2 linked regions of the Stegostoma tigrinum genome follow. The protein of the gene in region 1 purifies or fractionates together with the protein of each later gene. This does not show direct contact. Links are inferred from orthologs where the notes say so. Each region holds a gene or a part of one and is shown on either strand. Other genes may lie near its edges.

Region 1 (8,326 bases):
TCGCGCACAGGGTCACTCCCTCCCTCCCCGATCGCGCACAGGGTCACTCCCTCCCTCCCCGATCGCGCACAGGGTCACTCCCTCCCTCCCCGATCGCGCACAGGGTCACTCCCTCCCTCCCCGATCGCGCACAGGGTCACTCCCTCCCTCCCCGATTGCACACAGGGTCACTCCCTCCCTCCCCATCGCACACAGGGTCACTCCCTCCCTCCCTCCTCGATCGCGCACAGGGTCACTCCCTCCCTCCCTCCCCGATCGCGCTCAGGGTCACTCCCTCCCTCCCCGATCGCGCACAGGGTCACTCCCTCCCTCCCTCCCCGATCGCGCACAGGGTCACTCCCTCCCCGATCGCTCACAGGGTCACTCCCTCCCTCCCCAATCGCACACAGGGTCACTCCCTCCCTCCCTCCCCGATCGCACACAGGGTCACACACTGATGTACCTCTGCAGATTTGAGGTCGGGTGGCTTCCCATCGAAGACGTAGACGGGTTTAATCCCATTCTCAACCATCCGGATTGTCCGATAAAACATTCCCATCAGATGGCTGAGGAGAACAGAGGTGGGAAAGGCAGAGTTTGCAGAAGGTGTTTGACTGGCTACGGCACACCCACCCAAAATCTCACAGCCAATAAAACCCCAAACTCTCACGGACTGAGGGAGCGGGCCGCTGCCCGAGGGTCGGCGCCCAGGTAGCGGGCCGCTGCCTGAGGGTCGGCGCCGAGGGAGCGGGCCGCTGCCCGAGGGTCGCGGCGCCGACTGGCCGTTCCTTCAGTGCAGCTGGGTCCGAATCCCTGGAATTCCCGGAATTCCCTCCCCTGAGGAACACTGTGGGTCGACCCCACAGCAAATGGACCGCAGCAGCTCAAGGAAGCAGCTCACCCCCAACCTTCTCGGGGACGGGGGCGAAACCAGGGACGGGGCGATCAATGGTGGGCCGCGACAGCGACTCTCACCTCTGCGTGCACCCAGGCGTCTCTCTCCATTCCCCCCACCCTCGCCCAGCGCCCCCCTGTTACCTGGTGGTCTCACCAGCTTCGTTCTGCAGCACGTTCCCATCCTGCCGGACCGCAATCAGAAACTGGTAGATACTCATCGAAGCATCGATGGCGATTTTGCGTCCTGCAGTGGGGTTTTTGGGCGGGGGGGGGTGGTATTTGTTGGAGGAAGAGATGGAGAAAGGGCATGGGTGAGCAGCTTTGGGTCAGGAGGGGACAGGCAGGATGTCCAGGAGGCCATCCCAACCCCTCGCTCCCTCTTGACGGGTTCAGGCGTGTTGGGAGGGGTAAGGAAGCGAATGTAGAGTTGGCCGATTTGCAGATGGCTCCAGGCTGGTGGGACAAAGATGCTCAGTTGCCCGTCACCCTCCCCCCGCCGACCCTTCCACGCTCTGGTCTCATTTCCAAAGGGTCGCAACCCCCCCCCCCACCCAACAAAAGGCTAAGTAAGAGATCAAAAAGGCGAGCAAACGGAGAGGAGTACGATGCATGCGCGCAGCGCGGTGGGGGCAGGGGGAAAAGGCAGGAGAGCTGCGGAAAGCTGGCAGAGACAGGGAGGTCTCCGGCCGACACAAGCTGCCAGCAGGAAACAGCGAAGACGTTGGTTTCGGATCGGGACGACGCACCAGGAGTATTGCCGGAACTGGGAAAAGGAAGCGCGGCAGACCGAGTGAGCGCGCTCGTGTAAAACAAATTAACGGCCAACCACAATTCTCTGAGCGTCGGCACATTTCCCGGTCGGATTGCAGCCCCTGAAGGATACGAGAGAACGGGGTACTTTGTAATAACAAGCTCCAGTGCTCATCAGGGTCTGGTTCAAATCCAAGTACTTGGTGGGACGGGGCAGGGGGTGACTTTGAGTTGCACAGCACCAAAAGAGGCCCTTCAGCCTAACTCATCCATGCTGACCATGTATCCTAGTCCCATTTGCCAGCATTCAGCCCCCTGTCCCTCTGAACCCTCCCTACCCACGTCCCCATCCCGATGCTGTAACTGTACCGGCCCCCACCCCCTTCCTCCGGCAGCTCCTTCCCCCACACGCACCACCCTCTGTGTGAGATAGTTACCCCCCTCAGGTCCCTTTCCATTCTCCCCAGGGGCCCCATCCCAAGCCCGCCCCTCACCTTAAACCAATGCCCTCTGGTGGTGGGCTCCTGGACACTGGGGGAGCAAGACATCGGCTGTTAGCCCCCTGTCTGTGACCCTCAGAAAGATGGCCACTGGGACACTGAGGGAGCGCGGGGAGACTCACACAGAGAGCTGGCAGCGGGAGCTTACAGGGAAAGGCTGGGATGGCAAGGGACACGAGCAGGCAGCGAGACGGTGTGCGAGGCACGGTGGGCCCAACGCGCGCCCTCCCTTCCTGCCCAATGCACATCCTGCCCAGTGCACACCCTCCCCACCTGCCCGGCGCGCCCCCTCCCCTCCTGCCCGGCGCGCCCCCTCCCCTCCTGCCCGGCGCGCCCCCTCCCCTCCTGCCCGGCGCGCCCCCTCCTCTCCTGCCCAATGCCAGTGCACACCCTCTCCTCCTGCCCAGTGCACATCCTGCCCAATGCACACCCTCCCATCCTGCCCAATGCACACCCTCTCCTCCTGCCCAATGCACATCTTGCCCAATGCACAGCCTCCCCTCCTGCCCAATGCACAGCCTCCCCTCCTGCCCAGTGCACATCCTGCCCAATGCACAGCCTCCCCTCCTGCCCAACGCACACCCTCCCCTCCTGACCAATGTCCGGTGAACACTCTCCCGTCCTACTCAATGCACATCCCACCCTCCCCTCCTGCCCAGTGCACACCCTCTCCTCCTGCCCAGTGCACCTCCTGGCCAGAGCATACCCTGCCCTCCTGCAGAGTGCCCACCCACCCCTCCTGCCCAGTGCACATCCCACCCAATGCCCACCCTCCCCTCCTGCCCAGTGCACGTCCTGGCCAGAGCATACCCTGCCCTCCTGCCCAGTGCACCTCCTGGCCAGAGCATACCCTGCCCTCCTACACCGTGCCCACCTACGCCATGCCCACCCTCCCATCCTGCCCAATGCACATCCCACCCAATGCCCACCCTCCCCTCCTGCCCAGTGCACCTCCTGCCCAATACACACCCTCCCCTCCTGCCCAGTGCACCACCTGCCCAGTGCCCACCCTCCCCTCCTGCCCAATACACACCCTCCCCTCCTGCCCAGTGCACCACCTGCCCAGTGCCCACCCTCCCCTCCTGCCCAATGCACATCCGACCCAATGCACACCCTCCCCTCCCACCCAGTGCACATCCCACCCAATGCACACCCTCCCCTCCTGCCCAGTGCCAACCCTCCTGCCCCGTGCCCACCCTCCCCCACCCTGCCCAGTGCCCAGTGCCCAGTGCCCAGTTTCCCTCCATCCAGGGCCGGGTGCAGGAACCACATGGCCGGACACACATATTGCACCCTCCCCCTGGGGGTGGGGGCCGGGGGCTGTGCATTCACCGAAATAATGTTTCATTTGCTGCTCCCTGACGGCTCCCGGGGCCACGTCCCCGAGCAGTTTCGCTAAGCCCTGGATCCCCATCTTCAGCGCGCCACCGGGCCGGAGTCCTCCAGGGGGCTGCGCCGACCTCCGGTCGCATCGATCGCGCAGTCCTCCAGGTGCGGTGCGTCGATCGCCGACCGCATCGATGTGCCCCTATTAAAGGGGCAGCCCACCCACTGAGATAATGGGAACTGCAGATGCTGGAGAATCCAAGATAGTAAAATGTGAGGCTGGATGTACACAGCAGGCCCAGCAGCATCTCAGGAGCTGCTTGGCCTGCTGTGTTCATCCAGCCTCACATTTTATTATCTTAGCCCACCCACTGAGAAAGGATTTGAAATGCGGGCATTTCGCCTCAATCCTGTGAATTTTTATTTCCTTCCTCCCCATCCTCCACACACACAGACGCCTCACCCCACCCCCCACCGCCCCGGTTAAAGGTGGCATTGCTGAGGGTGACGGAGCAGACCCCATGGGCCGAATGGCCTAATTTCTGCTCCTACGCCTTATGGAGTTTATTTCCAAACCCGGTTTCAGTTTTCGGGGGGAGCACACAGGGTGAGGTGATGCAGCAAATCTCACCACTGACCAGAGATATGTTCGCTGTCTTTAACATAACCCGACCCATCCTGGCTCACGGTGACCATAGCATCGTCTGCAGGCCGTACAAAACCATCTGGGGTCACGGGCAACCACTGGGGAAGGAAAGGCCATGACCCCGGGCCCGGTCAAATCCTCAGTATTCCTGAGAGAGACTCTCTGTTATTGTCCCTGATCCTTTAATATCCCCAGAAGTCCCAAGAGAGACACACTGTTATTGTCCCTAATCCTTTAATACCTCCCCGAAAGGTCCGAGAGAGACACACCATTATTGTCCCTGATCCTTTAATACCCGCTGAAAGGCCTGAGAGAGAAACACCGTTATTGTCCCTGATCCTTTAATACCTCCTGAAAGGACCCAGAGAGAGAGAGAGAGACACCCCTTTACCTGTGGATAGGAAGCAGTTTGAATTAAAAGGTCACTAACCTGGGGTCACAGTCTTCTGCTGGAAGGCATGAGGTTTAGAGGATATTTGAGAAAAATGTTTTACATCCAGAGACTTGTGGGCATCCGGAATGAACTGCCAGGGTGGGTGGTAGTGCTGGGTAATGTCATAACCTTTAAAGATGACTTGGATGAGCACTTGAAATGTCATGATGTCCAAAGCTGTGGGCCTGGGGCTGGAAAGTGGGACTCGTGCAGATTTATCGCAGTTTTGGCAGTGCAGACCTGATGGGCAAAGGGAGGGCCTCTTCTGAACTGCATGATTCTATTCCATGATTTAAAACAGGGATGAGGAGGAATAACTTCTCTCAAAGGGCGATAAATCTGTGGAATTCATGACCCCTGTGTGCAGTGGATGCTGAGAGTGTTTAAGGGCACAGACAGATTTTTAATTAATAATGGGTTAAAGCATTATGGAGAGTGGGTAGGAAGGTGGAATTGAGGCTCACATGAGATCAGTGGTGATTATATTGGATGTGGAAACATTGGAAAAGGTGCCGAGGAGATTTACCAGGATATTGCCTGGAATGGAGGGAAGGTCTTACAACGAAAAATTGAGAGAGCTACGGCTTTTCTCTTCAGAACAACAAAGGATTAGAGATGACTTGATCGAGGTGTACAAAATGATCAGAGATAAAGAGAGAGTGGACAGCCAGAGACGTTTTCCTCGGATGGAGGTAGCTATTATGAGGGGACATTGTTTTAAAGTGAGTGGAGGTAGATATAGGGGAGACATCAGAGGTAGTTTTTTTAAGTCAGAGAGTGGTAGGGGCATGGAATGCATTGCCAGAGAGGGTAGTGGAGTCGGCCTCATTGGGGGCATTTAAGCGGCTATTAGGCAGGCAAATGGATGATAGTATAAAGTAGGGGTGGAGGTTAGGTAGACCTTAGGTTTTGGGTAAATGTTCGGCACAACATCTTGGGCCGAAGGGCCTGTACTGTGCTGTAACGTTCTACGTTCTGTGAATGGTGGATCAGTTCAAGGAGCTGAGTTGCCTCGTCCTGCTCTTACTTCTCATGTAGCTCAGTCTCATTTGCAATTTCACAATCTCTGTCCTGTATAACCTCGGTTCTGAGGAAGAAGCATTCTCCACAGATGTTGCCAGACCTGCTGACCTTTCTCAGCACTTTCTGTTTCTGTTTCTGTTTCTGTTTCTGTTTTTGTTTCTGATTTTCAGCATTCGCAGTCTTTTCAGTTTCTGTTTCCAGCTCCTTTGATCACTCCCACAGCTTTGTGTCCCATGCCAGTGAACCCGGAGACATGACATTGAAACGTACAGGATAGGAGCGGGAGTAGGTCATTTGGACCCTTGATCCTGCTCCATCATTCAATATGATCAAGGCTGATCATTCAGTTCAATTGCCTAACTGCACCCTCCCCTCCTATATCACTTGGTCCCTTTAGATACAAGATGGAAATCTAGATTATGTGTGAGGGTGAGAGATTTTGTCTGCAAGAGATAGTGATTTTGTGTGAGAGTGAGATTGTGTCTGAGATAGTGAGATTGTGTGAGTGAGATTATGTCTGAGAGAGATAGTGAGATTGTGTGAGTGAGATTATGTCTGAGAGAGATAGTGAGATTGTGTGAGTGAGATTATGTCTGAGAGAGATAGTGAGATTGTGTGAGTGAGATTATGTCTGAGAGAGATAGTGAGATTGTATGAGTGAGATTATGTCTGAGAGAGATAGTGAGATTGTGTGAGTGAGATTATGCCTGAGAGATAGTGAGATTGTGTGAGTGAGATTATGTCTGAGAGATAGTGAGATTGTGTGAGTGAGATTATGCCTGAGAGATAGTGAGATTGTGTATGAGAGAGAAAGTGACATTGTGTTATACAGAGAGTGAAAATGTGAGAGTGAGATTGTGAATGAGAGAGAGATAGTGGGATTGTGTATGAGAGAGAGAGAGAGAGTGAGATTGTGTATGACAGACAGTGAAAATGTGTGAGAGTGAGATTGTGAATGAGAGATTGTGTATGAGAGAGTGAGAATTTGTATGAGAGAGAGTGAGATTGTGTATGACAGAGAGAGTGAGTGAGAATGTGTATGTTCGAAATTTATGTGGATAAATGGAATAAATACGAGAGCAAAACTTTGAGAGTGTGTCAGAGTATTGTTACACTTTTAGACAATGATCCTAGTCCAGAAGCAGCAGGAAGCCTTTCTCTCTACATATCACAACAGTTTCCATTATTCCCTTGAAAAATTCAACTATCTCCGATCCACCGAGCTTTCAGAGATTCAGTCCCGAGTTTGTGTCATTTCACTCCCTTGCCATTGAAACCTCACTGTCCAGCTATCACTCTGGTGGATCTACACATCACTCAAACACACACAGGCTCCCCAGGTCCCCACCTCTCCCTGTTATAAAGTCAATGTCAGAGCTGTGATAACTTGAAATGGCTGCCGTGAACAAACCTAAAATGGCTGACTAACTGACTCTGACATTTGTCATCCTGGCTGTGCAGATTGAAACACATCTCACACTTTTTGTACGTTACCAGCTCTCAGTCTCCTGTTAATGGAATACAGAAAGATGTGAACTGATGCTTTTTGGATGTTAGACTGAGGAGGGACGGTGTAAATAAATGGTACAACATTAAACTGGCTGCAGGAACAGAGCAGCCTTCAGTTTGGGTCTGGAATTCTGTCAGCACAGGAGAGGGGAAAATGTGTCAGAAGCTGTTTACATTCATACATTCCTGCGTGGTGGAAATTTGTTTGTTTTGCAGAAGCAGGAGATGGGCAACACTGTTAGCAGGGACATGCAAGTTTCGATCGATTAAAACACAAATTCCAGATTCTGTCTAAAGCTACTGCCTCGAGATAACTAATGTTTTTTTCAGCAACGTCTATCGAACGCTCCAAGCTTCAGACAGGCAGAGAGATAGGACTGTACAAAAAAGCGACATTGTCAGGTGAGTCACTGAATTGTAGGCCTTGATCAGAATCTGCTTCAGACTTTTAATCTGGAGTCAGGCTTGTTTTATTCCCGGAAACAGGGATTTATCAAGTGCCATGCTGTCCTGCTGTGCTTTCAAGCTGTGTGCTGAAAGCCTATGAGAAGATTATGTAGCTCAGGTGGTGGGTGAGGGTGTAGACCTGCTGGCTGAGCCATTGTGTTTGATATTTTGTCACCGTGCTCGGTAGCATCGTCAGCGTACCTCTGGTGTAGTGTCAGCGTTTCGTCCCGCTGAGATTTATACACCCCGGTTTCATTCCGGAACTAACTCCAACCACTCCTAAAAACCGAGGCATATAACTATCTAGCAGGACACAACCTAAGAACACAAGAGCAGAAGTTAGGCCATTCAGCCCATCGAGCCTGCTCCACCATTCAATATTGGCTGATAAGTTCCTCAACTTCATTCTCCTGCATTCTCCCCGTAACTCTTGATCCCCTTGATAATCAAGAACCCATCTATCTCAGTCTTAAGTGTACTCAATATCCTGCCCTCCACAGCTTTCTGTGGCAATGAATTCCATCGATTCACCACTCTCTGGTGAAGAAGTTTCTCCTTATCTCCATTCTAAAAGGTCTTTCCTTTACTCTAAGGCTGTGCCCTCAGGTCCGAGAATGTGAGTGTGAGTATGTGTATGTGTATCAGTGTGAGTGTGTGTATCAGTGTGAGTGTGAGTATCAGTGTGTGTGTATCTGTGTGAGTATCAGTGTGAGTGTGAGTATCAGTGTGTGTGTGAGTATCAGTGAGAGTGTGAGTATCGGTGTGAGTATCAGTGTGAGTGTGAGTATCAGTGTGAGTACCAGTGTAAGTGAGTAT
Region 2 (8,616 bases), on another chromosome or scaffold:
TCCAATGTAAACCCTGTCCCTCAGAATCCCCTCCAACAACTCATGATGTCAGGCTCACTGGTTTATAGTTCCCTGACTTTTCATTATCATCTTTCTTAAATAGTGACACTTCATTAGCCAACAAACAGTCTTCTGGCACCTCACCCGTGGCTATCCATGATACAGATATCTCAACAAGGAGGCCAGCAATCACTTCCCTTGCTTCCCACAAACCTCTAGGTACACCCAATTATGTCTCGAGAATTTAACCACGTTTATGCGTTTTAACATGTCCAGCACCACCTCCTCTGTAATATGGAGCGTTTAAGATATCGGTATTTATTTTTCCAAGTTCTCTAGCTTCCATATCCTTTTCCAAAGTAAGTGCTGATGCGAAATATTCATTCAGTATCTCACCTACCTCCTGCAGCTCCACACATCGGCAGCCTTGCTTCTTTTAGGGGCCCTATTCACTCCCTAGTTAATCTTTTGTTCTTAATGTATTTGTAGAGTCCCTTTGGATTCTTCTTAGTCCTACCATGTCTCCTTTCTTCCCATCCTGATTTCCCTCGAGAATACTCCTATTACCCTTATACTCTTACAAGGATTCACTCGATCCCTGCTGTCTATATTTGATAAATAATTTCTTCTTTCTGGGCCTCAACTCTATGGTCATCCAGCAATTCCTCACTTACCAGCGTTGCCCTTCACACTACCGTATTTTTTGAAGGTTTCCCACTTTCCAGACATCCATTTTCCTGTGAATACCCAACCCCCAACATCCCCCAATTAACTGTTGATACTTCTTGCTTAATCAGACTTACTCCAATTTAGTTCTTTAACATTTAGATCAGGTCCAAGCTTTTCCACGACTGTTTTAAAATGAATAGAATTATAATCACTCGGTCCAAACTGCTCCCCCATTGATACCGCAGACACTTGCCCTGCCTTATTTTCCAGGAGAAAGACACATTTGCCTTTTCTCTAGTAGGTACATCCACATACCAAATAAGAAAACTTTCTTGTGTACACTTTACAAATTCCTCTCTGTCCAAGCCCTTAACATGGCAGTCACAATTTATGTCTGGAAAGTTAAATTGCTTTACAGTTACACCCCTATTATTCTTACTGATAACTGAGATCTCGGTACAAATTTCTCAATTTTCCGCTGACGGTTCCTCTGTAGACTCTTTGGTTATCCTCACCTCTTAACTTTCCAAATTCTTTTTTGTATCATCCAAAATCTTGTTGATAATACAATCACTTCCCACATCCAAGTCATTCCTATACAACTACAAAAAATTCCACAGTATCTCTTTTCAGACTCCAGACTCAGCCCCAAACTTGCCACAACTCCTTTCCTTCCCTCTCCCAGGGCCCGGTATCTGCTCTTTCCCCCTTCCTCTGTCCAAAGCCCTTGGCATTTTTACCTCCTCCCCCAGTATCGTCCCATGGCCCCTAAACTCCAGAATTCTCCTTCCCCAACTACCCTGCACTGTATCCTCCACCCTGGATCCTCTCCCACAACCCCAATTCCCCACGCACACTCCCTTTCCCGATCCCCCCCTCATATCCTCCGTAACACCATCCCCGATGAATTCTCACACCTGCCCCCCACCCAGATATTCCCACACTACCCCACCCGCCACCAAACCTCCCTCACACCCTCCCCTGGCACCACCCCTCACAGTGAACCCCCCCACCTCCCAATACCCCTCTCAATCCCTCATACCCTCCCCGACACCACCGCTCACAGTGACCCCCACAACCGCCTCACACCGTTCCCACCTCCCACCTCCCAATCTCCCCTCAATCCCTCACACCCTCCCCCGGCGCCACCCCTCACACTGACCCTCCCAATCCCTCACACCGACCCTCCCAATCCCTCACACCCTCCCCCGGCACCACCCCTCACACTGACCCTCCCAATCCCTCACACCCTCCCCCGGCACCACCCCTCACACTGACCCTCCCAATCCCTCACACCCTCCCCCGGCACCACCCCTCACACTGACCCTCCCAATCCCTCACACCCTCCCCCGGCACCACCCCTCACACTGACCCTCCCAATCCCTCACACCCTCCCCCGGCACCACCCCTCACACTGACCCTCCCAATCCCTCACACCCTCCCCCGGCACCACCCCTCACACTGACCCTCCCAATCCCTCACACCCTCCCCCGGCACCACCCCTCACACTGACCCTCCCAATCCCTCACACCCTCCCCCGGCACCACCCCTCACACTGACCCTCCCAATCCCTCACACCCTCCCCCGGCACCACCCCTCACACTGACCCTCCCAATCCCTCACACCCTCCCCCGGCACCACCCCTCACACTGACCCTCCCAATCCCTCACACCCTCCCCCGGCACCACCCCTCACACTGACCCTCCCAATCCCTCACACCCTCCCCCGGCACCACCCCTCACACTGACCCTCCCAATCCCTCACACCCTCCCCCGGCACCACCCCTCACACTGACCCTCCCAATCCCTCACACCCTACCCCGGCACCACCCCTCACACTGACCCTCCCAATCCCTCACACCCTACCCCGGCACCACCCCTCACACTGACCCTCCCAATCCCTCACACCCTACCCCGGCACCACCCCTCACACTGACCCCCCCAATCCCTCACACCCTCCCCTGGCACCACCCCTCACACTGACCCCCCCAACCCCCCTCACACTGACCCCCCCACCTCCCCTCACACTGACCCCCCCACCTCCCCTCACACTGACCCCCCCACCTCCCAGTCCCCCTTCAATCCTTCACGCCCTCCCCTGACAACCCCTCACACTGACACCCCCCCAAATCCCTCACAACCTCCCCTGACACCCCCCCTCACGCTCTCCCCTGACATCCCCCTCACACTGACCCCCCCAATCCCTCACACCCTCCCCTGACACCCCCCCAATCCCTCACACCCTCCCCTGACACTCCCCCTCACACTGACCCCCCAAATCCCTCACACCGACACCCCAAATCCTTCACACCCTCCCCTGACACCACCCCACTGACACCCCTGAATCCCTCACACCCTCCTCCCAATCCTTCACACCCCACCCCCGACACCCGCCCGATGAACTCTCACACCTCCCACCCCCCCGGTACCTGGATGAACGCGTTCCCCTGGACGCTCTTGGCGGCCTCAGCTGTCACCCTGATGCCGTTAGCGGAGGCGAACACCGTCGCCTGGTCTCGGAAATTAACGGCTTTAAGCAGATTTGACAGATTCCGCACATTTTCTAAACTGGCGACGAGAACAAACCGTTCGGCTCCCGCCTCAGGCCTGGGCTGAGGCATTGCGCCCACGATCGGTAAAACTCCAGGCCCAGGCTTCAGTCACGGTTAGGCCGCAGCTGCTTCCGCGGAGTCTCAGCTCCAGGCAGCAGACAGATACAACAGGTTTGAATTGATGAATAAATCTTCGGCACTTACAGCCAACTAAACCATTCAATCACCATTGAAACCGTAGGAGGCCATTCAGCCCGTTGTGCCTGTGCAACGCTCGGGCTGTCCTTCAGCTTTGTCTGTTCAATTCCCTCCTTTGGCGCCGCGCCCGCCAAACTATCAAACACAACCTGTTGCTGCTGTCAAAATGACCCTCCTCCAGGGATCGTTTATGTCTTCTAACAACTCTCTTAAATCTGTGCAACTCCATCAGCCTCCTGTACCCTAAATAAAACAAACTCAGCCTCCTGTACCCTAAATAAAACAAACTCAACCTGTCCTTCAGAACTGATACTTTTCATTGCAGGCAATATCCTGGTGAATCTCCTCTGTAACCTCTCCAGTGTAGTCATACAAAAAAAGAACAAAGAAAATTACAGCACAAGAACAGGCCCTTCGGCCCTCCAAGCTTTTGCCGATCCCAGATCCTCTGTCTAAACCTGTCACCTATTTTTCACCTATCCCTCTACTCCCTGCCCATTCATGTATCTGTCTAGATACATCTTAAAAGACATTATTGTGTTCGCCTCTACCACCTCCACTGGCAACACGGTCCAGGCACCCACCACCCTCTGCATAAAGAACTTTCCAGACATAGCGCCCTTAAACTTTTCCCCCTCTCACCTTGAAATCATGACCCCTAGAAATTGAATTCCCCACACTGGGAAAAAGTTTCTTGCTATCTATACCTCTCATGATTTTGTAGACCTTGATCAGGTCCCCCTCAAACTCCATCTTTCTAACGTAAACAATCCTAATCTACTCAACCTCTCTTCATAGCTAGCGCCCTCCATACCACGCAACATCCTGGTGAACCTCCTCTGCACCCTCTCCAAAGCATCCACATCCAGGGCTGTTAAGAAGGCATACAGTGTTTTAGCTTTCATTAATAGAGGAATCGAGTTCCGGAACCAAGAGGTTATGCTGCAGCTGTACAAAACTCTGGTGCGGCCACACTTGGAGTATTGCGTACAGTTCTGGTCACCGCATTATAAGAAGGATGTGGAAGCTTTGGAAAGGGTGCAGAGGAGATTTACTAGGATGTTGGCTGGTACGGAGGGAAGGTCTTACGAGGAAAGGCTGAGGGACTTGAGGCTGTTTTCACTAGAGAGAAGAAGGTTGAGAGGTGACTTAATTGAAACATATAAAATAATTAGAGGGTTAGATAGGGTGGATAGGGAGTGCCTTTTTCCTAGGATGGTGACGGCGAGCACGAGGGGGCATAGCTTTAAATTGAGGGGTGAAAGATATAGGACAGATGCCAGAGGTGGTTTCTTTACTCAGAGAGTAGTAAGGGAATGGAACACTTTGCCTGCAACGGTAGTAGATTCGCCAACTTTAGGTACATTTAAGTCTTCATTGGATAAGCATATGGATGTACATGGAATAGTGTAGGTTAGATGGGCTTGAGATCGGTATGACATGTCGGTACAACATTGAGGGCCGAAGGGCCTGTACTGTGCTGTAGTGTTCTGTGTTCTATGTTCTATGTTCTATCCTTTTGGTAATGTGATGAACAGAACTGTACACAGTATTCCAAATGTGGTCGAACCAAAGTCCGAGACAACTGTAACATGACCTGCCAACTCAATACCCCGTCCGATGAATGAAAGCATGCCGTATGCCTTCTTGATCACTCTATCGACCTGCATTGTCATCTTCAGGGTACAATGGACGTGAACACCCAAATCTCTCTTTGCATCAATTTTCCCCAGGACTTTTCCATTTACCGTATAGTTCACTCTTGAATTGGATCTTCCAGAATGCAACACCTCGGATTTGCCTGGATTGAACTCCATCAGCCATTTCTCCATCTAACGTCCAAGCTATCTATATTGTGCCGCATATTCTGACAGCCCCCTTCACTATCTGCTACACCGCCAATCTTAGTGTCATCTGCAAACTTGCTAATCAGGCCATCTGTACCTTCCTCCAGATCATTTATGGAACATTCATCGGTACTGGATATGAAATTTGTTGAGGGCTAGGAAACAGTGATTAATAGCCAGTGGGTATTTCATGGGCTGGAGGACAGCTTGTAATAGAGGTTTTGGGGGCTGAGCATTATAATCATAGAATTTAACACTATAAAAGGAGACCATTTAATCCATTGTGTTTGAACCACATTTTGAAAGAGCCACCCAACTGGTCCCATTTTCCGGGCCCTATCCATGTAACCTTCTAAATTCATCACTTTTATGTGTAGACCCATCTCTCTTTTGAAACCTCCTATCAAATCCACCTACGCTGCACTACCAGGTAGCACATTCCAAATGCTGACAACTCGCTGAGTAAAGACGTTTTTCCTCATTTCACTCCTACCTGGCTTACTGACAATCTTAAAATTGTAACCACTAGTTACTGACATATCAAGTAGTAGAAATAGAATATCCTTCTTTACCCTGTCAAAATTGTTCATAATTTTGAACACCTCAGTAAGGTCACCTCTTAATCTCTGCTCCAAGGAGAATAAGCCCAATTTCTCTATTTTTTTCTAATATCTAAAATCCCTCATTCGTATTACCATTGTAATAAACCTCCTTTGAACTCTCACCAGATGAATAAGCAGTGCTCTGTTTTCAAATAAACATGTTGGACTATAACTTGGTGTCATGTGATTTCTGATTTTGTCCACTCCGGTCCAACACCGGCACGTCCACAGCATGACTTTAACATCCTTCTTTAAATAAGGTATCCAGAACTGAACACAATTTTAAATGTGGTCTTACCAATAATTTGTGGAGGTGTAGCATCACCTCCTTGTTTTTTTTTCAAAATATGATTTATTGGGCAAAGTATCTCAAAAGTACATTCTATGTTGATATTGTTTAATATCATAGTACACAAAGTCTTTTAGTGTTACCATAGTTCAACTGATACCATAAGTAAACAACTCACATCTGGAAACATTGAAATCAATAACACAAAGTGTATGCAGTTAAATAACAATTCTGCTGATAAATAAGATTCCACACGATGATTTTACTTGGTATTGCCTGACTACATAATTCCATATTCCTTGTACACGGATTTCAGTTTTTCCACAGAGATGATGTAATCTATTTTCCCAAAATCAATGGAAATGCCAAGCACTGAAATCTTTTTTTCTCCATTTTGTTGTGATCAATGTTTCCATCCCCCAGGCATTTGTATTCCAGCTCCAGCTCTTCTATTTCAGGGACCAATTTTTCACAAATATTATTGGTGCCCCTCACAATGCCCTTGTATTCCAAGCTGCCCTTCTTGCTAACCCTCATTAGGATGTATTTGAAAACCCTGAGATAACTAGGTGTAGAGCTGGATGAACACAGCAGGCCAAGCAGCATCAGAGGAGCAGGAAGGTTGACGTTTCAGGCCTAGACACTTCTTCATTTTCGAAAAGGTACTAGGCCGGAAACATCAACCTTCCTGCTCCTCTGATGCTACTTGGCCTGCTGTGTTCATCCAGCTCTACACTTGTTATCTCAGATTCTCCTACATCTGCAGTTCCTACTATCTTTGAAAACCCTGTCAGGATATCTCCATGTTGGCCACAGCAGTCGGTTTGACTACGCGTCTTTTTATAAACCCAAGGATCCTATAAATTTTCTTAACAATGATTTCAACTTACCTGGCCACCTTCAGAGAATTTTGTGAACCCCGAAGTCTGTCTGCTCCTGTATTCCCTCAGAGTTGTATCATTGAGCCTGTATTGTCAATTTTTTTTTCTACCAAAATGCATTACTTGACATTTCTCTCCAATGAAATACATCTGCTAAGTGTGAGCCCATTTGGCCAACTTGTCAGCATCCCTCAGGGGTGACACGGCAGCTCATTGGTTAGCACTGCTGTCTCACTGTGCCATGGACGTGGTTTCAATTCCAGCACTGGGCGACTGTATGGAGTTGGCACATTCTCCCATGTCTACATGGATGTGCTCCGGTTTCCTCCCACAGTCCAAAGATTTGCAGGCTAGGTGCAGTTTCCATGCTAAATGCAGGGTCACACAGATAGGATATGGGGGTGGGTCTAGATGGAATGCTTTTCGGAGGGCCATTGTCTCGAAGGGCTGAATGGCCTGCTTCTACACTTATCTTAGTCACTCAGCATCATCCTCACAATTCATTATTCACCCTAGCTTATAATGATTTGCAAATTTAAAGATTTTCCCTCAACATCTATCTTCAAATCATAAATATAAATCAGAAAAAGCAAGGGTTCCAACACCAGTTCCCGGTGATCACCATTTTTAACATGTCTCTGATCTGAAAAATGCCTATCTATTCATACCCTCTTTTTCCTATCTTTTAAACAACTTTGAATCCCTACCATCATGTACCCAATGATCTAAATATAAAAGTCTAAATATACAGCATTAACAAAACTACCCTTATCCTCTGCCTGTGTTACCCTGTCAAAGAAGTTAACTAAATTTGTCAGACATGATCTGCCTTTGACAAAGCCATGTTGATTGCCTAGTATTAGCTTATTTTACTCTAAGCGTGTATTTACTTTATCCCATATTACGGCCTCCATCAGTTTACCTACCACTGATGTCATGCTGACTGGTATGCAGTCCTGGGTTATTATATGCCTGTTTCTTAAACAACAATTGGGTCCTATTCTGATCTTGATACATATAAATAATCTAGATCTAGGTGTTCAGGGTACAATTTCAAAGTTAATAAATGACACAAACCATGGAAGAATGTTAAGCCAATAGGAGGACAATGTAAAAGACAAAAGGCAGTAGACAAGTTGGGTGGAACGGATAGATACTTGATAGATGAAGTTCTGTGTGGAAAAGCACAAGGTGATATATTTTGATACAAAGGACACCAAATGACAGGATATTCTGAAGTGTATGTGTTCTGAAAGGTGTGCAGGAGCAGAGAAACCTGAATGAATAGGCACATAAGTCATCAAAGATACCAGGACAGGTAGAGACAGCTGTTAATAAAGCATTGAGTAGAGTTATACATTTGTACAGCATGGAAACAAACCCCTCAGTCCAACTCATTCAGGCTGACCAAATATCCAATATTAATCTAGTCCCATTTACCAGCATTTTGCCCAGAAGCCTCTAAACCCTTACTATTCATGTACCCATCTAGATACTTTTTAACTATTACAATTGTACCAGCCTCCACTACTTCCTCTGGCACCTCATTCCATAGATGCATCACCCTCTGTGTGAAATA

What was found.
Region 2: the proteins of fen1 (region 1) and rad1 purify together in Homo sapiens (affinity purification with western blotting; 3 studies listed by BioGRID). This does not show direct contact. The link is inferred for Stegostoma tigrinum from reciprocal best matches to the Homo sapiens genes FEN1 and RAD1.

What each region holds. Positions count from the first base shown.
Region 1 is NC_081396.1:650,029-658,354, reverse strand, and holds the start of fen1 (flap endonuclease 1), read right to left. Parts: upstream 3,600-8,326; 5' UTR 3,541-3,599; coding exon 3,459-3,540; intron 1,121-3,458; coding exon 1,018-1,120; intron 546-1,017; coding exon 443-545; intron 1-442. UniProt on the Homo sapiens protein: Structure-specific nuclease with 5'-flap endonuclease and 5'-3' exonuclease activities involved in DNA replication and repair.
Region 2 is NC_081369.1:67,980,807-67,989,422, reverse strand, and holds the start of rad1 (cell cycle checkpoint protein RAD1), read right to left. Parts: upstream 3,891-8,616; 5' UTR 3,290-3,890; coding exon 3,098-3,289; intron 1-3,097. UniProt on the Homo sapiens protein: Component of the 9-1-1 cell-cycle checkpoint response complex that plays a major role in DNA repair. The 9-1-1 complex is recruited to DNA lesion upon damage by the RAD17-replication factor C (RFC) clamp loader complex.